Linked DNA regions of Drosophila melanogaster. The protein of the gene in region 2 interacts with the protein of the main gene of each other region in a pairwise test. Each region holds a gene or a part of one and is shown on either strand. Other genes may lie near its edges. The genes, in order: Archease, CG18371, CG15446 and robl37BC.

The links.
Region 1: the proteins of CG18371 (region 2) and Archease interact in a two-hybrid assay, tested with the Drosophila melanogaster proteins (one large-scale study listed by BioGRID).
Region 3: the proteins of CG18371 (region 2) and CG15446 interact in a two-hybrid assay, tested with the Drosophila melanogaster proteins (one large-scale study listed by BioGRID).
Region 4: the proteins of CG18371 (region 2) and robl37BC interact in a two-hybrid assay, tested with the Drosophila melanogaster proteins (one large-scale study listed by BioGRID).

The regions. Positions count from the first base shown.
Region 1 is NT_033777.3:21,660,661-21,664,691, forward strand, and holds Archease (archease), read right to left. Parts: upstream 2,313-4,031; 5' UTR 2,205-2,312; coding exon 2,150-2,204; intron 2,084-2,149; coding exon 2,059-2,083; intron 1,560-2,058; coding exon 1,169-1,559; 3' UTR 526-1,168; downstream 1-525. UniProt on the Drosophila melanogaster protein: Component of the tRNA-splicing ligase complex required to facilitate the enzymatic turnover of catalytic subunit RtcB.
Region 2 is NT_033778.4:14,027,046-14,029,627, reverse strand, and holds CG18371 (uncharacterized protein), read right to left. Parts: upstream 1,009-2,582; 5' UTR 895-1,008; coding exon 562-894; 3' UTR 532-561; downstream 1-531.
Region 3 is NC_004354.4:21,098,807-21,104,217, forward strand, and holds CG15446 (uncharacterized protein), read right to left. Parts: upstream 3,401-5,411; 5' UTR 3,281-3,400; coding exon 3,217-3,280; intron 3,123-3,216; coding exon 2,264-3,122; intron 807-2,263; coding exon 608-806; 3' UTR 545-607; downstream 1-544. Other genes in the region: stg1 (stargazin-like protein), read left to right, coding at 5,124-5,299.
Region 4 is NT_033779.5:19,009,329-19,012,077, reverse strand, and holds robl37BC (robl37BC), read right to left. Parts: upstream 1,213-2,749; 5' UTR 1,083-1,212; coding exon 735-1,082; 3' UTR 546-734; downstream 1-545.

The DNA.
Region 1 (4,031 bases), on a different chromosome or scaffold from region 2:
AAGCTGAAAGCTAAAAGCGAATCGACCAACTGGCCGTTTGTGTGTGCGTGTGTGTCCGCGGGCTATTTGCCTTCATACTTTGTTTGTTCTTTCGCACGCTCATTCGTATGGCTCGTCGACCGCAGCGTTGCTTTTTTTTTAATATCAATCAGCTGTAAAAGCGTATATTTTTCAGTTCGCCGTTCTTCGCCCGATGTTCCAAGGAAAAATCATCATACTCGTGCACGCACGCACCCACACAAATACAAGAACGGGCCCATATGTTGGGCGACGTTGCCCGGCAAATGTTTTTTTTGTTGTTTACTTTCTGGGTTTTGACGGTGCGGTCAGCTGTTTCAAAACAAATCGCTCGGTGTTACCAGCTGACTTCGCTCATCGGCCACTAAATAACATCGGCTCACGCGAAAATCATCCGAATAATACTGATTCGAGAATAGCGCGTTATTCAAAGGAAATCGGTTTTTTGAAAAGCGTTAATATTTGTTGATATCGTCGTGGATTGATATTTAGAATTAGGGATTGCTTAATCGTATAGATATTTATTACGATTTACATTCATTGAACTAAATTATTGTTGATAAAAAAATATGTTTGTGTTTTTAGGCCCCGCATTCTCTATACTTTATGTCGAACAAATCAAGTCAATCATAACATTAAAACTATGGCCTTGACTTGCATTGTTAACTGCCCTATTCGACATGACTCCCCAAAAAGAAGTACAACTTAATTCTTTAATGCAACCCAACGCGTCAGCAACTCCTGAAGGCTGCCGAATAAAAAGTGCATTGAACTGGGGCCTGGGAAAGGACAACAAATTCGGCATTTGTCTGGGAATTCAACACGTTGCCAATTCACAAAGCAGTGGGCAAAAAAAAAGTGAATAGTACACAAAAAATTCGAAGGCAAAAGGGTAAATCTTGATTCCGGAATCAGACCGGTGAGAAGGAAGCCAGTCCTAATTGCATTTGCAGCCGCACAATCGAGTGGTTTCTTGATAAGTCATCCTCATCGACAAGGGATGCAGTCGCAGCACGAGAGATTGCAAATTTTTCGGGGCTTATGCAGCGGTTTTTATATCGTTTTTTGGCATTTCACTTATGATTAATGGAGACAGGCAAAGGGGTTGAAACAGAACAGTCACATTTAATTCCCGGCGATCGCCGCTGGATCAAATGTCAATTATCACGAACACCTCGTAGTTGCTGGCCTCCACGTCCTGAATGATTTGCATGGCCGAGTATGTGATTGCCTTCACTTCGGTGCCCTGCGGATGTTTCCCCAGCTCAAATGGTTCCCCGTAACAATGGCAGGAAATCTCGAAGTTTTCCACATCGAACTTGGTGATCTCCAGCTTCTTGCACACCAGATACGGTTCGGCAGAGAACAGGAACAGCAGCTCGTCCAGAAAGTGAAAGAGTAAGCTCTCCAGATCATCTCCATGCGCTTCGATTTCAAAGCACTGCTCCACGGACACGTAATCCAGTTCGGTCATATATCCAAACATGGCCACTCCGCACTGTTCGAACGCCTCTTTCAGCGACGATCCCCATCCGTGGATTCTGTCAAATGGGAAGGATTCCAACATCATCCGTTTATATTAAGTAAATTAATTATGTCTATTGTAGCCGTAAGTTATAATTTATATACAAAACTGCTGCCTTTTAGTGGCGTAGTAAAAGAATTATTTATGATCTACTACTTAATAATAGTCTTGTTGTTTTAAGCGATAGTAGTATAATATAAAAGTCAGAAAAAACTTGCATTACATATAATCTTCAAAAAAGCAGATACATTTGACGTTTAAAAAGCCGTATTCCCTAACTATGAACATAATACATAGGTTTGGGAAAATATGAAAAATTATAATGGCTTTAAAATATGTATAAATTAAAATAAATTCTTTTTCAGAATGTTTGCTATATCTCAAATTCTAATACGAAAGCGCTTATTAGAATCTAGTTTATACGATCATCTGGATTTTTCATTCACAAATAGCGAACCACCCTACTCCACATGGCTAACGGGCACACTTGTTGTTTTTGTTGTTATCTTACTCACTGAACATCCGCCGTGTGATCCAGGTCTGCAACGCAATGTGATGAAATATTTAGCAACAGATTATTCTCCTGCAAATCGAAGAACTACTCACACTCGTACTTCATCTCCGGCAGCAGGAAGTTCTCCCTACTGAATTCCACCTCCATTATTGTTAGTTATAGCTAAAGTTAAAGTAAAATTCGCGGACAAAAACTATAAACAAACCAGCAACCGCTTAGTGTGACCATCTATGCGCAGGGGAAAATACCTACTGAAAGGAATATACCGAGCTCCAATAAGAAATTGTTAACATACAAATTACAGAAAATACTGAGCTCAAACCGGGAAATGTTAACATACAAATTTTAATAAAATGTATAAAATTGTTTGTAAGAAATATTTGGGTTTTATTTAATAAAGAGTAAACTATAAATTATAAAGATTGAATTATAAGATAAAAGTTTCTATCAAGCTTTTAAATTCGAAATTGTTAAAAATATCTAAAAATACCTAAAGGCTTCATTTATTTTTAACTTTGTAATTTAAAAAACTTGTAATTTAAATATGCATGTCAAATGGGAAGGATTCCAACATCAGAAGAGAAGAAAAATAAAAATAATGCTTCCTCCTTTAATAAAGTGTTTACAAAATGCTTCCCACGGCCCTTTTAGTTAAAAAAAATATATCTAAAAACGTTACAGAACGAAAGAAATAAAATTGTGCTAAAGGCTGTGATTGTAATAAAATTAAGTAATTTTGAGCAAAATTAAAGCAGAATTTCCAGTTTATGCCCACCATTTGTTATCGCACTTAAAGTGCTACAAAGTGCTGGCGCATGTTTTCAGCCCAGTTTTGAATTTCTGTAAGAGCGACCTTGTCCTTTCATTAAATCGCAATCAGCCATAACAACTGAAGCTGCAACCTTGTATTTTCATTTGCCAAAAGAAACAGTCCACAAAATCTTCTTCTGGCCTACCGGCAGCATTGCCGTCAATCGTTACGATTGTCAATCACGTCGCTTGATTTATTCAATCCCATGAACTTGAGCGCTGGCTGTGAGTACTTGATTTCATACTTGAATAATACCCATTGACGGACATGGGATTGTCTAATAAATATTGCCTCATTAAATTCAGATCACTTTTCAACCAGCGGTGATGGGTTATTGTTTGAAATAGACAGCGAAGGAAATATTTATTTCTAAGGTCGTTCAACTCGTTGATGTAAAGTTCAAGAAATATTTAGTGTGTTAAGAGAAATGAAAAGTTATTTTATAGTTAAAGTGTTTGTATTATTTCAAATGAATTTTGTATTTACTTTTTGTTCACCTTTTGGGACATTAATATGAATTATTATCAAACATGCTATAAAATTATATGAAATAATATTAATAATAACTTGCTAAGTAATGGTTATCAGTTAGTGCGCATCTCGGTCAATTAAATGATTCTACGCATTTCTAAAGGAATTTATGAATGATTTCTGCTGGTGATTTACGACCGTTTTGTTCAATTTTGTTCATTTTGCACATGAGGAAACGCGACTTGGGGGTGTCAAACTCTAAGCCGAGTTGACAAAGCTCAATTTTGTGCCCGGCCATATTATGGCTTTCAAACATTTTCCTGCTATTTTTGTGGTTTTTTTTTTATTATGGCTCATTTGGCTGCTGCTGCCACTTTTGGTGGAAGCTCTTTTTCTCTGGTTTCCTACGTCTTCGAGTGGTTCAGTTGGCTACGGGAGCTCGCCTGATTCACGTCGCGTATTCGGCGCAAATAACTGTAAAGCTATTATTATTCTCGAATATTTGCGCGCCTTTGCGTACGAGTTCCAGAATTTCATATTTGGCTACACTATATATTTGGAACAACCAGAAGTAAATTGCCTGGAAGTGAAACTAAAGCTCGGGAGTTCGGAAAACTCAACTAAACTAAGTAGCTAGGTAACTTGTTTTGTTAAATAACTGACCGTTGGTCAACTTGGTTGCAAATGCAACC
Region 2 (2,582 bases):
TTGAGAAGTCACGACTTACTAGATTTTCACCTTCAATCAAATAGTCAATCTGTTCTTGTTCAGCGCACTGCGATAAATATTTGTGGCTCTCTGTTGTTATTCTAGATTTTCCTTATAGCCAGTATTGTCTGTTGCCTGTTGGCTGCTGTTTGTGTGCCGTAAAAACTCATTGCCAGTTTGGGGCGTCGCTCAACTGGAAATGTGGCCAAGCCGAGGCTAAAACTGAAGCTGAAGCTGAAGCTGCAGGTGTCTGTCTAACCAAGTCATCTCACATATATATATATATACATATGTACATATATTTACTTTGTAGATACATATATTAAAATAAGTACATAGTGGATGTGCCAGCCTCCATGTAATTGCGCTGAGCATTTCTTTGTGCGGCTTAATTAGTGGCTGGCAGCAGCCTGTTTTTCATTTTAGAGGTTTATAAATGATGCTCGCAGAAGCACAACTGGGCTCCATTCGTAGGCAGCTCAATTTAAAGGTCCAAACAAATAGTTACAGCAAATACACAGTTCCAATTTTCGGTAGTAGACTACAAGTCTAAATTCTTTATTAAATGGCCTTTTTCGTTGCTGCCACATTGTGGTAGCGAATCGAGAATCGGCTAAAGTTGTGCGAAGTGATCTCCTTGGTGGGCGTGAATTCCGCCCGCTCGATAATCGAGCGCGGACTGCCGATATTCAGTAGCCAGAACTTCAGCACGTTGACCTTGGGCAGTGTGCCCTCCAGCTGTCCCTTCACCGTGCCCTCGTCCGTGTTCATCACCCACCCGCGCACCTGGTTCATTGTGGCCAGATCTCGTGTCTGCTTCCGCAAACACACACCCTGTACTCGCCCGAAGAGTTCGAATCCGCAGGAGAAGATCTGTTCCGCTGGCTGCATCATCTTCAATATGCTTCGTTTTTTCTAGAAATAACTCCAACTTATTGTCGATCGAGAGAGAGATAGAAACAGAAACTCCACTTGTTGAAATTTAGTTGATTTTTGTCAGTGTTCGTTACAGGAATGTCGCAAGCTCCTAGATTCCCTTAAGCAGTTAAGTGTTTCCTTTCGGAATGTGCGCTCTGCAGCACAGTGAAACCCAAATAATGTTAACACAAGCAAAACTTGCTAAAATTAAATGTTAAACTACTGGGTGTCAATGATATCGCCATTATGTGCTTAAATTAAAATCGACGAAAGAAATAGGGAGTTTACGTTGGAAAAAGGAGCAGTGTATCGGCGAGAGCGCTAATGACATTGTATCTATTGTATATCCATAGCGTATAGCGTATCCCATATCAGCACTGGGGACTCATAAATCACTTGCCACACTCATTCGCACACACGCACACATTCACATGCGACGCCAAGTTCATCTCATGGCAATCCAATCAACTGGCAATGCCACAAAAGTTTGCAACCACCAAACCAGAGCCGAAACCCTCCCCCCCCCTTGTTCCTCTTGCCAGCAAGCCTCCTTCCTTCCCCCTTCCCCCTTCCCCTTCCCCTATGGCCCATGGACACATGAACACCCCCCTCGAAAATGGCAAAACACCACCTATGGGCAGCGCGAACAATAACTAGCGAGATAAACAGACAACATTCGGCGTTAATGCAAACGCGAAACGCCGACATCGCAGGCGATACTAAGGCAAATATTTAATACGATATTTATGGCCTAGGCACAGGATCAAGTGCAAGCGGGATGGGTAGACAGAAAGAGACCAAAAGGGAGAGCATGGGGAAATGAGGTCCTTTGAGCCAAGGTATTTGCAAAAGATGCCTGTGATAAATGACTACAGTTACAAGTACTCGTCCGACAGCTTCCAGAAATTGGTTTCCCGATGACTACATAAATTATACTTTTTCACAATTATGTCTAAGGTTTGTAAGGAAGACTATTAAATATTAACGATACGATATATTCTCTAGAAATTAACTGCTTTTCATTCTTCCACCCTGACGTTAGCGTGCAACCGAAAAGATTTTCCCCCTTTACCATCTACATTTTAAGAAACCAAACGTGTACGTATGTTGAAATGGCCCTAAAGCTGTCAATTTGGTTAAGCGAATTTAAAAGTTTTCGCAAAGTGGAACCAAAGGCTTCCAATTTGGCCGGCACACTGTGGCCAATCCAACTCGAACTCCGTTCGTCGTGTGCCCATTCAAATGAAACACAGCACGAGCCTCGGGTTCGTTTCGAGTTTCAGGTTGGATTTCAGGTTGAGACCGCCACCGACGTCTCCATCGAATTCGCAGTTCCGTCGCTGCCTCCGTCGACGTCCGTTCGATACTGTTGTTGTTGCTGCTGCTGCTGTTGTTGTTGTTGCCGTCGAGCCGAAGGTGAGCAAGCCAAATCAAACAAACCGAAGCGCAGCAAAAAAAAAAGTACGTTGAAACGCTTGAAGGGACTTCGCATGCCTCGCCGTTGGAGCTACGAACGAACGGGTATATATGTTTGTATGTACATGTAGGCATAAGTATAGGTATCGGTATATCTATAGATACTATAGCTCATGCTGTTGCTGCCAGAAACTGCGCTTCAATTGCGACAGCAGCAACAACAACAACAACAGCAAGTCGGTAAACAA
Region 3 (5,411 bases), on a different chromosome or scaffold from region 2:
TCTCGACGGCTACATAGCTTTGAGCTGAAAATAACTGGAATATACGGGTACAGCCTTTTTAAATGGTTTTATGATTATATGCATTTTTTATATATACGTTTACAAGGGCCCAAAGCCAATTGATATTCGTAAATGTTTCTCATCAAATGAGGACATGTTTTCGTGCAACCCTTGAAATCTCACCCACGTCCTTGCGACCGTACTTAGAACTTTTTTGAGAGAGTTTTTGAGTTTTTATTTAGAGGCGTACTTTTTAATTCAAAATCGTGAAAAGTATACCATTGGAAAGGGCTTGAAAGCATTATTCCCATGACGCCAAAAGGTGGCAAGTTAAATTTAGTTCATAAACCGAGGAAACGGGTTTCACGTGCTTTGCAGCTGGCAAATGGCAGCTCGTCCTTGTCACAGGAGCAACGAGGACATCCAGACCTCCATGCGGGTTTTTCATCCTTGTTGCTTGACAAATAATTGTATTAACGACACAATGTGGGCTTAATTTGTTCGCAAACTATACGAAAGTACACAAAACAAAAATCTATATTTTCACCATTATGCCATTCTTTATTTCATATAAATTAAATTATGGCTTCGCTGTATACAAACAGATTTATTCCGGCTTTGGTTTTTTGCCAAGTTGCTGCAATTCATTTGGCTTAGTTATTTTAAACTTGTGTAAGTTTCGCGCACAGGCATTCACGGAGTGCATGCGCATAAAGCCTGATGTGCGAAAGACCTGGCCACACTTGCTGCAGTTGTGTGGCCAATTGTGGTGACCAGTCTCGCGTTGGTGCTTGTACATGGCCCGACTGAAAAGATAGAAGAATGAGCGATATTAATGAAACGTACATATTTCGGAACCCAAATACAGTACAGAACCCAAATATACAGTTTCGAAAAAATCAATAGCACCACCATAGCGTATCATTTATTTTTGATCATTTGGGTATTTCCCCATCCGAATCTGAAAAGAATTTATATAATATTCGTATAAGGATATACTAGATTCGTTGAAAACTGTGTAACAGCTTTCCGACCATATTCCGCCTGTCTATCCATCAGTCCGTCCGTCTGTCAGAACGTCTCGATCTTAGAAACTATAATGGCTAAAATGTTAAGATTAGGCATGCAGCTTAAGGAGACATAGTCGCAGCACAAGTTGGTTTCCAAATGTTGCCACGCCCACAAACCGGTTAAAGCTAATACGCCCACACTTCTGAAAAATGTTTTCATATTTTTTCATAGTTCTATTAGTCTTGTAAATGTCTATCTTTACACCTACACACCCCGAACAGTCACGCCCACACTTTTAAACAATTTTTAAAAATTTTCTCATTTTATTCCCCATAATCTATCGATATGTCCAAAAACTAATAAATTTCTCGCATTTCTACTAGCTGAGTAAAGGGTATCTGATTGTCGGGGAACTCGACTATAGCCATCTCTCTTGTTTATAATTTTTTTGGTTCAGCAAGGTCCAAAATAAGGCGAAAAAATAGCACCACTATCAATTTTTTAAAAAATTCGAATTATTGTAAAAGTACCTTAAAAATATTATTAAAACGGAACGTGGAAAGCTTTGTACAGCAACGTGACATGATTAAGAAAAAAAATCATACTGAAATATTGGTCGAATCCTTCATGTCTCAGGGAACATGGTTTAAAAGCCTGAAGTCCAAGGCGCAGCTATTAATGCTTATAATGGATACACTACCATAAATATATTAAGGTAGCGTAGTTTTAATACGCAAACATTTGTTATTAAGTTTAAAATTGAAAATTTAAGCATTTATTTTTTCGTTGTTCCTAATAAAGTTCCTTAGTTAAGTTAAGAATTCATAGAACAATTGTACTTATTTTTTATTTTTTAATAAGTGAGTGGCTTACCATTTTTTAAAAGGGGACTAATTTAAACCTTGATTGGGCACGTGGTGCTCTTTAATTTTAATTTTTCACAACAGAAAAATTTCTATCTGAATAATACTCTTGGCTTTTTTTATCTAACTCATTAAATTATCAGCGAAAATAATGAGACTCTTACAAATAAAATAAAATATTATAAATAAATTTTAAGTTCGTATTGGGAATGCTCATATATGTACTTCCTTATGATCTATGAGCAAAACTAAACTTTTGTGTAAAACAGCATATGTACCTGTAGGAATGATGGATTGGCAGCTACTTAAGTAGCCTTGAAAATGTCTCCAGGTGTGGGCAGTTTAAGAAAATATAAAAGAATATTAATATTGAAAATTGAAAAACTTACCGCGAATCAAAATTTTCCTTGCAGTAATCCAACGGGCACGAAAAGACGCTAAATGGTGGGTGACGGCCCATTACCATTGGGTTAGCACCGAATATAGGCGGGTTGGCTGATGGTGTTGAATTCAACGGCTGTATCTGGCTCAAAGACGAGATGGAGTTCATGATATGATTGTAGTATTGGTTTGATAATGCATTAAATTGTTCGGTCCATGTAACATCCATGTTACGGTAAGGGTTAGGGAAAGAGCTCAAAATTGGAATAAAGTTCCTATTTGTGGTAAAACCCTGATTGGTATTGACCATCGAATCAGACTGCGACCCCTCAGCGTTGTGCTCGACCCCCTCCACTTTAATCTTAACGGGCACGTTGGACTCCTCCGACTTCGGTTCCGACTTGGTCGCCAACTTGTCCGCCACCTTGTCCGGCATCTTGTTCGCCTTCTTGGATTTCGGCTGCATAACCGACTGTTCCCCCGACTTACCTTCATCTTCGATGGTCGGAGATTGAGAAATGCCACCGACTTGACGGGCGAATTCAGATGCCATTCTGGCCGCAGTGGCGGCAGATGGAGGACGACCACGTCGTGGCCCGCCATTATGGCTGAACACATGGGTAGCCGTTTCCGCATTGTATTTGGACATCAACTGTTTTTTGTTACGGGTCTCGATTTCATGGCGCACCATCATGGGCAGTCGATCACTGGATAGCCAGGAGTCGTTCTCCAGCTGCCTCCGCGACTGATTGGCCATTTGGCGATACGAAACGGGACGACGATTAACGGGGTTGTTCGGATGCTTCACTTCGGTGGGTTCCACTGGACGCTGGCACTCCGGGAGACTCGGATGGATAATTCTAGCAGCTAGAAACACAAGCAGGATATATCAAGGAACTGTTTTGCTGTGCAGACTATTTTGTATATAGAATACTACATACCACATTTATGGAAAACTTACCTTCGTAGCGCTCGTAAAAATTGCGGCGCCTATTGTTGTAACGATCCGAAAACATGCTTCGCATAATTAAATTGGTTGAATATGTTAAATAATTACACAGTAACAAACCAGCAGAGTAAAACGACTTGAGCGCAGCAAACAGATTAAACAATAAATTTTTAAAACACCAAAATCACATTCCTTTGACACGTGGCGTAAGAAAAGAAGTCCGCCATCTTTGTTCGATAGATTTAAGCTGTCTAATTTGATGCCACCATTCACCGATAGAGTTGCCTGGTTAAAAAGGTGTCAATTTAAATTTAGTTCATAACTGTTAAATAAGCCTCTTTGGAATTTAATTTCATACCAAACGTTTGCAATCCAAGATCAGCTTAAATCGTTTCTTTCACTTTAAAAAGGTCCAAAAGCATAGTTTTAGTATAATATTAAAATGTATTGTTGCGAATAACAATAGGATTAATAATAAGAAATCAGCTGTTATAAAACAGCTGTAAGCAATGTCGTCGTGCCCACGTGCGTTTGTTTTCGTTTCGAATTTAATAAATGACGTACTACGCAAAGTTTTTGTTAAACAAGTGATGTTTGCTCTAAGTTTTTTTTATAGTTTTATAGAGATAATAGAGAAAACACAAACTAAATACAATATGTATTTCTCTCTGTTTTAGACTTATTAATTTTATTAATTTGTATTTTTCATTCAGCCCATAGTGGAGTAGAAATTTCAAATCAAATTTAATGCAATTAAATGCCAATGTAGGCGGTTGTAGAATCCTTAATATTATATATGTATGTACATACATATATCGGAGAAGCGGAGCGCGGTATATCGTTTTCACGAAACACTACCACAACAACAACAGGAGCCATGCTCATTTGAATACACACACAAATGATGGCCACTCAATAACGGAACGCTCTCCGTGAATTTCATTACTCGCTGCTCATTCTTAACATAACGGATCAATAACATAATTTCGATTACATTCAAATAATAATATGTAATGTAATCTACTCAATCTCCGACATACATACATATATGTAGATATTTTCCACTTTATAAAAACGGTTAAAATAGTATGGCCTTAATTCGATTAAATAATAGTGCTTGCACCTACATATTTTTGTTGCATAAATCGATTGGCATTTGTTTTAAAACAATATTGAGTACTAAACAATACGAAGTACATCTCAGCACTTGTGACTACGCGCGGTGCCAAACTGCGCAAATATTGGCGTTCAAGTGCACTCATGAATATATTCACGAATATCTGGGTGACGACAAGCTAAAGATCCCTCTAAAAAAAATTCCCACCACCCTTTTGAACTCTTTTTTTTTTTGCATTTTCACTGCTTCTTTTTTCGCACATTTTTCAGCGCCAACAATTTTATTTGCACTCCTCGTTTTTGGGTGCCAACATTTATTTGCACATCATTGCGTGTGTGAGTGTGGGTGGGTGGGTTGGTTGTGTGAGTGTGGGTGGTTGGAAAGCTTCGTACGCATGTGTTTTTATGGATTTTCGGCCTCGTTTTTGGCAGAGTCGTCCCCCGACCGACCGCAAAACAGGTTGAATATTTTTTAATCAGCTGCCCCACACAATTTTTGGAGTGCCCGGAGATCCAGGGTCTCGCCAACGACTTTCATTTTGATTTAGAGAATGCAACTTTCTCTACTCTCCAATTGCACAACCAAAAAACTGTGGTTCTTAAATCATTTTGATATGTACATAAATGTAAAAATAAAACTAAATTGGCTAGAGTTGTCTGAGAGCATTGCCAAAGAACGCAAATAAAAATGAGTCTGTTACTCATTTAAAAACAACCTAACCTTTTTTAAATATTAAATATTTTAACGAGTATCGAAATGATTTTGGCCAGTGTCTTATTTCCACTCTGCTTGTTTTTTGCAGCATTTCTGTCGCCATTGTCATCGCCGCTCTGGCCGGACCCCAGTGGCTCTTCACGGAGGAGAAGCTGCCCAATGCCAACTACAATGGGACGGCCAACTTCAAAGCCCTGGACGATGGCGCCTACATCACCAAGTACACCAAGTCCAGTCTCTGGATATTGTGCACCACTCTGCCAGGTAAATTGCTGTCCGTCCAGCATCACAGCACCACATTCCTTGGAACCATTTGCACCACCAGCAAATGGAGACAGATATGACATATATGGTGTTGGGCTGCTGCAGTTTTCCG
Region 4 (2,749 bases), on a different chromosome or scaffold from region 2:
AATTGGTTTCGTGCTTTCGTGTGACGCGTGCGGAGGCGTGTAAAGCCCGGCGTGTTGCTGTGTAAGTGTGCTGAGGCTGAGGGTGTGTGCGTGCCCACGAGTATGTGTAAGTGTGCAGGCGACAGGCTGCTCTGCGGGTCCTTCAGCCCCTGCCATCCCCCCTCTATCCACTCTGTTGTTGCTGTTGGCATGAATGCTTGATGGCGTGACGGCAGCCGGTTGTTGCCAGCAATCGAAACGAACTCGATGGAAGGATGTGTTCCTCCTTTTCCTGCAGACCGAATCCAGAAATACCCAATCCCGGCTAGGCCAAGTGGTAAAGCTACGAGGATCACTTACGGCCATATACTACAAGGTTTTCAAATTCAAACCATATATTCCGGGTGTGTAGCTAATATATCAATGTTTAAATTACGTATATTGCCAAACCATAATAATAAAATATTTGTATTGCTGTTACTTACTGATATCTACAACAATTTGGAGGCACACGACCTTCGACAACAGCCTACTGGACTCCCAATGAGGGTACGCAAACACAATTTACCCCGCCTGTATGTGGATTTTATTTTTGCGTGCTCTTCCAGCACAGCAATGTCCCGGCTCACAATTTCAGCTCTGTACTTTGGATTTGTGAGCTCGTCCGTGCAAGGACTTCTCTCAGCCAGGACATCAGGACGTGGTCGTTACCCGCTGGCGCAGCTGGTTTACGATCCCTACTGAACTCGAAGCCGTTAGAGCGCCGAGGCTCTCCGCGAGGCGACACTGCTCCTCCAGGATTCGTCGAGCACACGGTTGTCCTGGATCAGAATGATCGTGTGCTCGTTCTCGGTGGCCACCATCGTCTCCTGGCGGCGGGTGCGCAGCCGCACGTAACTCAGCTCGTCCCCATTCTCCAAATCCTGCACCATGGATCGGGCCAGAATCACCAGTGGCCTCATCCGATCGGCGTATATGCGGGCCACATTCGCTGGCAAATTGGTCCGCACCGGAACTCCATTGCCATCGATCAGGATTGCCCCCGTCACGCCTGGCAGCTGAACCAGCCGATCGAAGGTCATCTGCACAGTGTTTGACGCCATGGCTTCCAAGAGCGGAAGTGGATCCCTATTTGGGTGAACTATAGGGCGGGGGCTGTATTTGTAGGTCTGGATGTAGGTGACTTAAAGCAAACACACAGATATTTCGATCTCTGTTTCAAAGATCAAGTGGGAAGTGATTTATTGAACTGATTATTCAATATGTAAGTCTTAACTAGATAAGATACAAATATTAGAAGCTATTATTTAGTCAAAACTATGTTACATTGGCATATATCTATAACAATAATTTGCTATCAAGCAAATGGTTCAAAATACAGACTGAACCTTATGGATAATAAAATATAAAATCCTAATCCTGCCTTAAATTTTATGTCCTGCTAACGATCCATATCACGTAAGCTACCACAGGGAGATGATTTAAGTCAATCCTATAATAGAACCTTTTACTATATGTGGGAGACCAGTAGCCACACAGATCGATGAGCATTTCGCAACTTCATCATCGCAGCGACTTGGACTTAATTTCGCGGGGGAAGTTCAGAGCTCCCCCGTGGCTATTGGCAAGGAGATCCCAGCATCCCAGCTTCCCAGCAGCCAAGCATCCAACCATCAAGACAGCCGGCTAGTGAAAGAATTTCCGGACTCTATGTCAAAGGTTGAATCTTATTTGTGCAGCAGCACGCGTCGCCAGGGGAATGGAAATGATAGGACAGTGGAGGTGGAGGATGTAACGACCCAGACGAGGCGCCACCACCCACGGTGGTGCAGGCGGCAATCATTCCTGACAGCATGCGGCCACGTAAATGGCGTTGAATTACAGCCCGACAATCGAAGTGTTGAAGTCCCGAACTGAAAAGTTCACTCCTGCCCGTCCGGCAGCGGCAGCAGCAGCAGCCTGTGCATCATTCATAAGCCGGCCCAGGCCACAGATTGTCTGGAAGCGAGTCGAGTGCGCACGCACGCAACGAGCCGATGATGATGAGCTCAGGACTCCCAAACAGGCAACTTTATGACTGTGGGCCATGGGTTGGCATTGGGTTGTGGTGTCGTCACGTGCCGGTAGCCGTCTGCGACTGACTCTGACTCCGGATGTGGATGCGGATGAGGATGCGGATGAGGATGCTCCGTGCCGCCCTCCTTGGAGCTCCCTAATCCACGTTGTATAATTCATTTGGCGTTGCCGACCCGTTCGCCGTGCGGAACTATTTATTCAATAATTCGACGTAAAAGCTTGACACAGCAATCCGGGGTTGTGAGCCGTCACAAAGCAACTGGGTCTCTTCCAATCACGCAGTTGTAGATACCTTAATGCCCACACCCACTGTTTAGTGTTTTAAGCTCTATCACAAATAGATTTTAAATAAAACACATGCTATAGTTCAACACTTTGGGTGCTTGGCCAACATTTAAAGGTTCAAAGAGCTAAAGCATAGAATCATATTAAGATTGTTGGCATTGCATATGTTTCGCATCAATAAACGCCGTGCCATCTAATTTTAGCTTAGATTGTTGCTCGACGCATTATCACGATTTAAAAAAATTTAAATTCACGCACGCATACAATCTTCAAGAAGGTTGGCAACTACAAATATTCGAAGTCGAAAACGGCGTTACCAATCGTCATAACTTTGGAGGTTGTACTGGCTAAAAGATAGTTTCGGTGCGTGTCCACGCTAATTGTGGATTGTGTACACGCTAATTGGTAT